Linked DNA regions of Callithrix jacchus. The protein of the gene in region 2 purifies or fractionates together with the protein of the main gene of each other region. This does not show direct contact. Links are inferred from orthologs where the notes say so. Each region holds a gene or a part of one and is shown on either strand. Other genes may lie near its edges.

Region 1 (4,244 bases), on a different chromosome or scaffold from region 2:
CCTCTGAACCTGTGACTGCAATTCCTTCTCCCTTCACTTCCTCCCAGAGTCCAGAGCCACCACCCAGACATGGCACGCTGTGCTCACTTGCATGCTGGCTTCCTGTGTTCTGCCCCTTGCCCCACGTGCTTCCCGGCCACAGCCCCTCTGCAGCTAGAGGGTGGGCTAGCAGAAGACCTCTCTGCCCTAAACTGTGGTCCAAGGGGTTGACTGATCCCTCAGGGTGGCAGCTCCTGCCACTGGCAGGATTTGGGCCCCTCCCTGTGCCAGGCACAATTGTCCTCCTTTACTTCTGGATGGGCCACAGGCCCAGGGGCCTGTGCAGGAGGCTGGGAGAGGGTGAGTCATCAGAGGGGGTTGCCCACCTTCCGAGTCTAATTTCTGTGGCCCGTCCTCATTGCCGCCCGGCCCCCTCAGCTGCTCCCACTGGCTAGCGCAGGCCGCGGTCAGCACGTCTCTCACTGCACGGACAGCTTGGGATGATTTGGTGAAGCTGAGCTCCCTCGGGGGGCCAGGTCCAGGGCCACACCCCTCCTCCAGGGCCAGCCTTAGCGCCAGCAGCTCCTGTGCCAGACAAATGCCCATTGAAGCTCTGCTGGCCATGGGTCCTCCTTGCTGGGGGTGGAGGCAGCTCTGCCAGGAGGTCATGCACCACTGCCTCATCCTCCCTCCACCCCACCTGCCCCAGCTTCCATTCCCTCTGTGGCCCCCAGAGCGGCCCTCACCTGTAGGAAGCTGACTGAGTCGGCTTCGGGGACCTGGCTGAGGTTCTGGCGGGCTCGGCTCAGGCGGCTGCGCTGTTCCTCCTGTCGCCGCAGGTCGCCCTGGGAGCGACCCAGCATGGCAGCTTCCCCTTCTTCGATGAAGCTCAGCACCTCGGTCTGGAAGCCCTGCAGGGTGGCTGCAGCCTCTGCAAATAGCCGGCTCACCCTCTCCCGCTCCGCCACGGCTGCACTCTGCACAGGATGACAGTGGGGTGGCAGTGAGGGCAAAGAACAGTCCTGGACTTTGGCCCCTTCCTTCCCTGAGCCAGCTTCCCAATGGCCCTCTTGAGGGGACAGAGGGGCCAGCCTGAGCCTGCCCTAGCTCTGGCCAGGTCAGGGGACACTTGTGTTCAGTAGGTGTGGGCATGGCTTGTTTGGAGTGGACTGTTCCGTTCTGAAAGCATATACTGCCAGGAGTATGCCCGCTGCAGGGGAGGACAGGGATGGAGGCTGGGGAGGGGAGTCTGACCTTGATGAGGGCCACCGTGCGCCTGGACTGTGCAATGCCAGCACCCAGCTCATCCATGCGGTCCTCCACGGCGCTCAGGACTTTGGGCTGCTCGGCCTGTGGACAACACCCTCCATGAGTGTGAGGTCTGGCAGAAGCCACAGCGCTGCACTAGGGTCCCGGGTCTTGCCAGGGGAGAGAAGAGGGTGACCAGGGAGTGGTATCTGTGCACTGGGTGGGACTGGAGTGGCCACCATGTCCCATCATATGCCAGACGTGCCTGCAGCCCAGGCTGGTGCCTTTCCTGAACACCTGTGGGATGTGGGTGTCTGCCTCCCCTCTCTGATCTCAGTGTGGGCTCAGATGAATTTGAGAACTTCCTCCCAGAGAAGAGGCACAGAGTAAGAGAGTTAGGTGAGGGGTGACCGCACAAGGAGGCATTAAGCTGTCCTGGGGCTCACTGTTCCCACAGGGCCTGCATCCACAGTCCAGGCCTGAAAAAAAGGGGATTCCAGGCAAATCCCCCAAGTCTTATGAGTCACTGCTCCAGGCAGGAGAGACGGAAAATCCCAAGGCCGGAGGCGCCAAGACCGGGCTTGAGGCCAAAGGAAACTGGGGGCGGGAGGTAGCGGCCACCGCGCACATGCTCCCACCACAGGCCCCCCTGAACAGCTGGACAGAGGCTCTGTGTGCCTGGCCGCCCTCTGCCACCCACCACACCCATCGAAAGCCGTTGCCTCAGCCCAGCGCAAATCTGAGCTGAGCCCAGCGCGAGCGGCTGGCGGGAGCAGCAGCGAGAACCCCGCTCCCTCCCGCCTACACTCCCATGGACCCCAGCACGGCTTCAGGTCCCCTGCCGGCTCTTCGAGTCCTTGTCCCGTTCTCACGTCCCTCCTTCCTCCCTTCCCATCTCCACCACCGCAAACAGAAGACACTGTCAAGGCTGGAAGGGTTAGGGAGGAGGAAATTAAGATCCAACCCAGGAAGGTTGGGGGGTCGGTCCAAGGCCCTCAGCGCCCCCGTCACCCTTCCCGGCCCACCCGAGTGTCCCCGCGCCCCACCTCCTGAAGCGCGCGCTCCTGCTCCAGCGGCACCAGCTCGTGACCCCGGTGCTCCTGGGCAGCGCAGGCCTCGCACAGGCACACGCGCTCCGCGCGGCAATAGCGCTCGAGCGGCCGCAGGTGGCGCGGGCACAGGCTCTCTTCCAGCCGGCGCAGCGGCGGCACCAGGCGGTGTCCGCGGAGCGCAGGGCTGCGCTCGTGCGGGCCCAGGTGCGCAGGGCAGAAGGAGGCGAGGCAGGAGAGGCAGGACAGCGCGGCGGGTAGGGCCGCGCCCTCGGGGCACGCGTCGCAGCGCACCGGCTCTTCGCCCTCCGGCCACGGTTCCGGAGCGCAGGGAGCCGACGGCTCAGGGGCGCTGGGTGGCGCGCTGGGCGCCGAGGGCTCCAGGGCCGGGGCGGTGGCCGGGCCGGGGCCGGGCCCTGGGCCCGAGCCCTGGCGGAGCTGCAGCAGCTCGGACAGCGTGTGGTTCTTGCGGAGCTGCAGGCCGTCAGGGAAGGGCTCCTGGCACAGCGGGCAGCGGGCCGCGCCTCCGGGTCCGCCGGCTCCAGCGGCGCCACGATGCGGCCAGAGAGCGCCCAGGCAGGTAAGGCAGAAGTTGTGGCCGCAGGGCAGCGTCACCGGCTCCCGGAGCGGCTCCAGGCAGATGGGGCAGCTGAATGGCCCGCTGCCGTCCATGGCTTCGCGGCCGCCCAGGGCTCCGCCGATTCTGCTCCCGCCTGGGAGGGACCGGGGCCGTTCGCGCCGCCGCACCGCCCACTGGGACTCAAGCCAGGGCTCCAGCCCCCGCCCGCCCCCAGCTCGGCCCGCCCCCAGCTCCGCCGGCCCTCCCGCCGGTCCGCGGACTCCCAGTCCCCACCCAGACGACGCGTGGAGGCTTCTGAGCCCGCGCAACCCCCAGGGGAGTCTGCGTGGTCTCAGGGAAGGGCGCTGCCGAAAGGCTGTGAAACCGAGGGGGCGCGGGCGGAGAACCCGAGGGGCACAGCGGAAGGAGTAGGAAGCGCTAAGCCTCCATCCCCTTGGTCTCTCTGGGCCAGGCCAGGGCTCCGCAGGGGCTGGGCCGGTCTAGCAGTGTCAAGCCTGCACCTTTGCTCTCGACCCCTCCCTGGCACCCTTAGCAAAGTTCCTGAGCTGCTGACGGCAGAGAAAAATAACTGCTGATGTGCGTCTGTTTTTGCCCCTTAGCAATTTTTTTTTTTTTTTTTTTGAGACAGTTTCCCTCTTGTCGCCTAGGCTGGAGTGCAGTGACGCAATCTTGGCTCACTCCATTTTCCGCCTCCTGGTTTCAAGTGTGATTCTCCCGCCTCAGCCTCCCAAGTAGCTGGCATTACAGGCGCACGCCACCACACCCAACTAATTTTTGGGTTGTTTTGTTTGAGATGCATTCTCACCCTGTCACCAGGCTGGAGTACAGTGGCACGATCTCTGGTGCACTGCAACCTCCACCTCCCGGGTTCAAGCGATTCTCCTGCCTCAGCCTCCTGAATAGCTGGCACTACAGGTGCATTCACCACACCCAGCTAATTTTTGTATTTTTTAGTAGAGACGGGGTTTCACCATTTTGGCCGGGCTGGTCTCGAACTCCTGACCTCAGGTAATCCACCCACCGTGGCCTCCCAAAGTGCTGGGATTACAGGTGAGCCACCGAGCCTGGCCCCTTTAGCGACTCTATTTACCCCGCTGGGGAACTTGGGCTTTTCTAGACCTGAAATGGGAAGTTGACATCATTCTCCCAGTCCCTTGTCTGAGGAATTTAGTTCTGGTCCCTGGACACTCAGGGGCACCTGTGGTGGAGCTGGGGAGAGTTCCCCAACTGGAAGTATTTAAACCTCATCTAGCCAGGTGTGGTGGCTCACGCCTGTAACCCCAGCACTTTGGGAGGCCGAGGCGAGAGGATTATGAGGTCAGGAGTTCAAGACCAGCCTGGCCAAGATGGTGAAACCCCGTCTATACTAAAAAATACAAAATTTAGCC
Region 2 (4,421 bases):
ATATTACGGAATGCTGTAGTACTCAAGGTGTTTATGCAGCTCACTGTCAGACTTCCAATGATAACGGAAAAGGGTTAAAAGCAGATGCATCTGAATTGTACTGTGGCAAACTGCCAGAAGGGTATCATCTTTAGCATAAATGATGACAAGGGTTACTTTAACAGGGCACCCAGGATCCACAATTAGTCCTACAATACTAATGCCTCTGTAAGCTCTGTCCTCTGGACTCACAGAATCCTACCAACTTCTGAAGATATGTAGTACACAGCAACCGTAGCTAAAAATCAGGATTTCCTACTGACACCAGAGAGGCTCTTTAGAGATTCTCTATTTGCTGTTTCTGTTGAACAAAAGCCGGCAATAAAACAGCTACATCTTTCTATATGTGAGTCTTCACCAAAGCTTTAGTGAACTGTTCACAAGAGATTCTAGCTCTGACAAATAAACCCCTTTAGGTTTACTTAGGAAAACTCACAAACTCATTCAGAGGTACCAATAGGATAAGCATGAAAAACAAGCTGCAGAGCTTGCCAATATTTTTGTCATTCATTCAGCTGTTTTATACCAGCGAGAGAACCCGTCAGGGATCAGAAGACAACTTGGGGAGACCACAGCAAAAATAGCAATACGCAAACTGGTGATTTCTTCCTTGGCTTGAAGATATTTTGACAAAATCGCCTAAACAAATAAAAACATTCAATCCCTTTTTCTTAGTAGTGCTTTCTCATCTCAGCCATAATTTTCATCTAGCACCTGTCAGACAGAAACCATGCACAAGAAAAATAAGATGGAAATATTAATAAAAATCCATGAAAAGGCTTTAGCAATTTTGTTATTTGAAGTATCTGAGGCCCTTCTACAATTAAACTGCATTTTTAGCATACATCCAAAAAACAAAACAAAAAAGCATTTGAGCAGGAAGTGAATTTACTGTACTTTTAGTTCTTCCTCCTCCTGTCCTGATATCTTCAAGGAGTCGAGTAAGTACAACAAAAACACACATATTGATTCTTCCTTTTGAAGGATTAAACAGATGTATTCTACAATATGCTTTTCCTTAGACCTATGAACTGCAGGGTTTTCAAACTATTGAAATATATTGGATTTATTTTGGATTTTATCGATTATGTTTAGAGGTACCCTAAAATAATAAAGATGTCTATAAAGTAACAAGAGTATCATCTAATTACAGATCTTCTAGCAAACTGTTGCGGTTACCCTCCTGTTCCTGGGAATAACGCTGAACATAAGCCTTCTCTGAACTGTCTGATTATTCGTGCAAGTGTTCGGTGAGAGTTCCAACTACAGCGACTTCATAACCTTCCAGCATTTAAAGGGGAGAGCACTGGTCACTGCTGAATGCTAAAAATACCACATGATTTAAACCTGAAGGCAGTCTTAGAAGCTTTTGCTGAAGGTTTATGAGCCTGTGTAAACAGCACGTCTGCCATAAGGAGCAGTGAAGTCTGTAGAATCCTTGTCTAAAACTGTCCTGGCATTAAAGTTTGCTGTGCAAATATCACATAATACCAGAGACAGCTGAAATCTCCTATTTAGGAATTTATGGAACTTACATGTTTGCAGGCGTCAGAAAGTCTTTTTTATAGAGCCCCAGTGCTTCACAGTACAATATTAATGTACTCTGTTTGAAAAGCCGTAATAAATTATATTTTTAATGCTCTTACCCTGGCTTTCTTAAGATGCATACATTCTTGGCAAACAATCAATAAATAGGGTAATCATGAGTAGAGGCCAAAGAATTTGCTGAAGTGCTGTTTTTCCATTTTTAATAGATAAAGATCTAACAATACGGACTGCTGTGTCTGTTCATTTCAGGATCAATATATTCTTTGTTTTCGCCAAACCAAGGAAAAAATAAATGATTGTATGATAAATGTTATGCATCAAACACAATGAAATTCCTCTGCCTTCTAACTTTAGCTACTTAATATTCTTGGTTGCTAAAATATAGCATTTTTAATCCATTGCTTAGCTATTATAAGGAAAATCTGATTCCTATACATGTTATTTAGACACAGAATGAAGCTCCTTATGAGGCACAGGCATTACACCCGGGAGAGGCACTGCTTTACAGGAACAACACTGTTAAACACAGTCAAAGTTGTTAAACCGCATCAATTTAATATTGATAGAAAAGAGTCACACAGTTACACATCTTCCCCTTTAAACTTGTCTAAATCTGTTCTTTCTTCATCAAGCATACCCAATTAAAACAAAAATTAAAGACCAGAATCATCAGATTTTTCAATACTAATGAATTTTCTCTGAAGAAAATAAGCCACGAAAAATAACATGACAAACTTCTGTGTAAGACTTTTAAGATCTCTGAAACTGCCTTACAACCAAAAATCTTAGAAAGAAGCTAGGGTAGCTCTCAAACCACCTAAGTGTTTTATTCTTAATCAGGTTAGTTTAAAGCAACAGCCGCCTACAATCCTCTACTGTAACACCTTGTGAATGGACCCCTGTGTAAACTAAGACCATTATATTTAATTCAGTCCTTAGAATCTGAAATGTCCAATGATTCCAGACTACAGTAAAATGCTCCACCCAAGCATGGAGCCTATACTTTCTAACATGATTGATACTAAGGACCCAGAATGTAACTAATTTAAGATCAGAAAGAGAATAAAGGCAGAGTATACAAAACATGTTCTGCCACTCCACCCCCACACAATGTGGCCTTGTGTAGACACCAGGGCTTTCAGCTTTCCAGGATTTGGCTTGAGAGTATTTACCTTTCCTAAGGTTGGTTTTCATCAGATGGCCCGAATGTTTTAAAGGCACTCCCTGCATTTTTGCACCTGTACTCCCAAGCCTTCCTCTTCCTAGTGGGCTCCCGTTCTGCTCCAGGCGGGCAATCTTGGCTGGTGGACCCTTCGGATCACTCACATTGTTAGACATTTCTGAATGTTCTTTCCCCTGAGTTGCCTCGTTCAAATGATCCATACTCAGTCACTGTCTAAAGATCACCTGCCAGAATTTAAAAAGAAGACACGTTACAATTGGTTGGGGACCCGTATGCATATATGTGTCCTATGTAAATGTTTTAGCTCTAGATATCTCTCTCTACTAATATAATGTATTTGTAAAATGGCCTTTCTAGATAAAATACAGATGTTACTATGTTTCTAGATAATAGCCCTACATTCTTATTCAAATTAACAGAATGATCTGTGGAAACTGTACCAATACACATGAATAAAAAGGTAATTGGCCTATAAAAAAAAAGCGAGGAAAAATGGGCTTACTTTTAGAATTATCAGAAGTATAGCTAAAAAGAAAACAGCAAATTGTATTTATGCAGTCCCAATTTTTAACAACTAGAAACTCATTACAAAAAGACAGCAGAAACACTTTAATAAAGGATGGAAAGATTATCACAGTTCAAAATATTAGAAATCTAATGTATATGTTTCTATTTTTACATATGTTTTAATTCTTATAAAAAACACATAAACCAGCTCTAAAGAAAGTAACAAACATCTAACTGCTTTTTAAACTCCCCAGTGGCATAAGTTAATGCCTAGAAAAAGTTTTCTACTACCAAAGTTTCAAGAGTTATGTGACTTGTTAAAGACCTAGTCAAGTTTTGGGTCAAACACATGATTGGATCAGTTTACCCCTAAGCAAACAGAAAGAAGTGAAAGGTTTTCAAATATCCAATGTACTGATGCATTAAACTCATGTGTTTTAGAGTTAATATTTAGGTGTACATTAGTAATAGAGGGCTGTTAAAAATAAATATTTTTTAAAAATTGAATATAGTTCATGATATGCACATTAGGTTGAAGTGTCAAGCTATAGGAAAAAAAAAAAAACAAAAAAACCTTGATGATAATGGTAAAACAAAATATCCAGTATTCAGAAATAACCTCAGCATGCAATGGCGTTAACATCATAATTAACTTCAAAACATTAACAGATAATTATTTTCAGTTATGTATTAGACATCAATTTTCACATCATTTACAGTAAAGTGATTAGACAATATAAAAGTCATTTTTAAAGTATAGTTTTAACTAGGATTGATAAGAACAGGTAATTAGAATTATTTTATGAACTTTCATGGTGTTTGAAGTATTGAGCTCATAAAACTAAGGGTTTCATATTTAGGAAAACCAGAGAATAATTACCATTTTTCCTAGCTGTCTAGTAATTTGACATAGCTTGTTTTTGTTTTAAATTCTTATACTGAAGCTATTTAAATCTGGATTTGTTGAAAGCCAGTTTGTATCAGCATGGTTTTTCTGTAAACATTTTTTTCTTCTGTTTAACCATAGCCTACTTCTTACCATATAATCAAGAAAAGGGGGACAGCAATGTTAATCTAGAGATTTAAAAGCAACCTTAAGAATACCAATTGAAGAACTATAAAGTTTGAGAAACATTAATGGCTA

Evidence for each region.
Region 1: the proteins of SATB1 (region 2) and TRIM47 purify together in Homo sapiens (affinity purification with mass spectrometry; 4 studies listed by BioGRID and IntAct, with this or other methods). This does not show direct contact. The link is inferred for Callithrix jacchus from reciprocal best matches to the Homo sapiens genes SATB1 and TRIM47.

The regions. Positions count from the first base shown.
Region 1 is NC_133506.1:131,771,631-131,775,874, forward strand, and holds the start of TRIM47 (E3 ubiquitin-protein ligase TRIM47), read right to left. Parts: upstream 2,982-4,244; 5' UTR 2,949-2,981; coding exon 2,274-2,948; intron 1,330-2,273; coding exon 1,234-1,329; intron 957-1,233; coding exon 726-956; intron 565-725; coding exon 366-564; intron 1-365. UniProt on the Homo sapiens protein: E3 ubiquitin-protein ligase that mediates the ubiquitination and proteasomal degradation of CYLD.
Region 2 is NC_133518.1:57,115,597-57,120,017, forward strand, and holds the start of SATB1 (DNA-binding protein SATB1), read right to left. Parts: upstream 2,977-4,421; 5' UTR 2,971-2,976; coding exon 2,760-2,970; intron 1-2,759. UniProt on the Homo sapiens protein: Crucial silencing factor contributing to the initiation of X inactivation mediated by Xist RNA that occurs during embryogenesis and in lymphoma.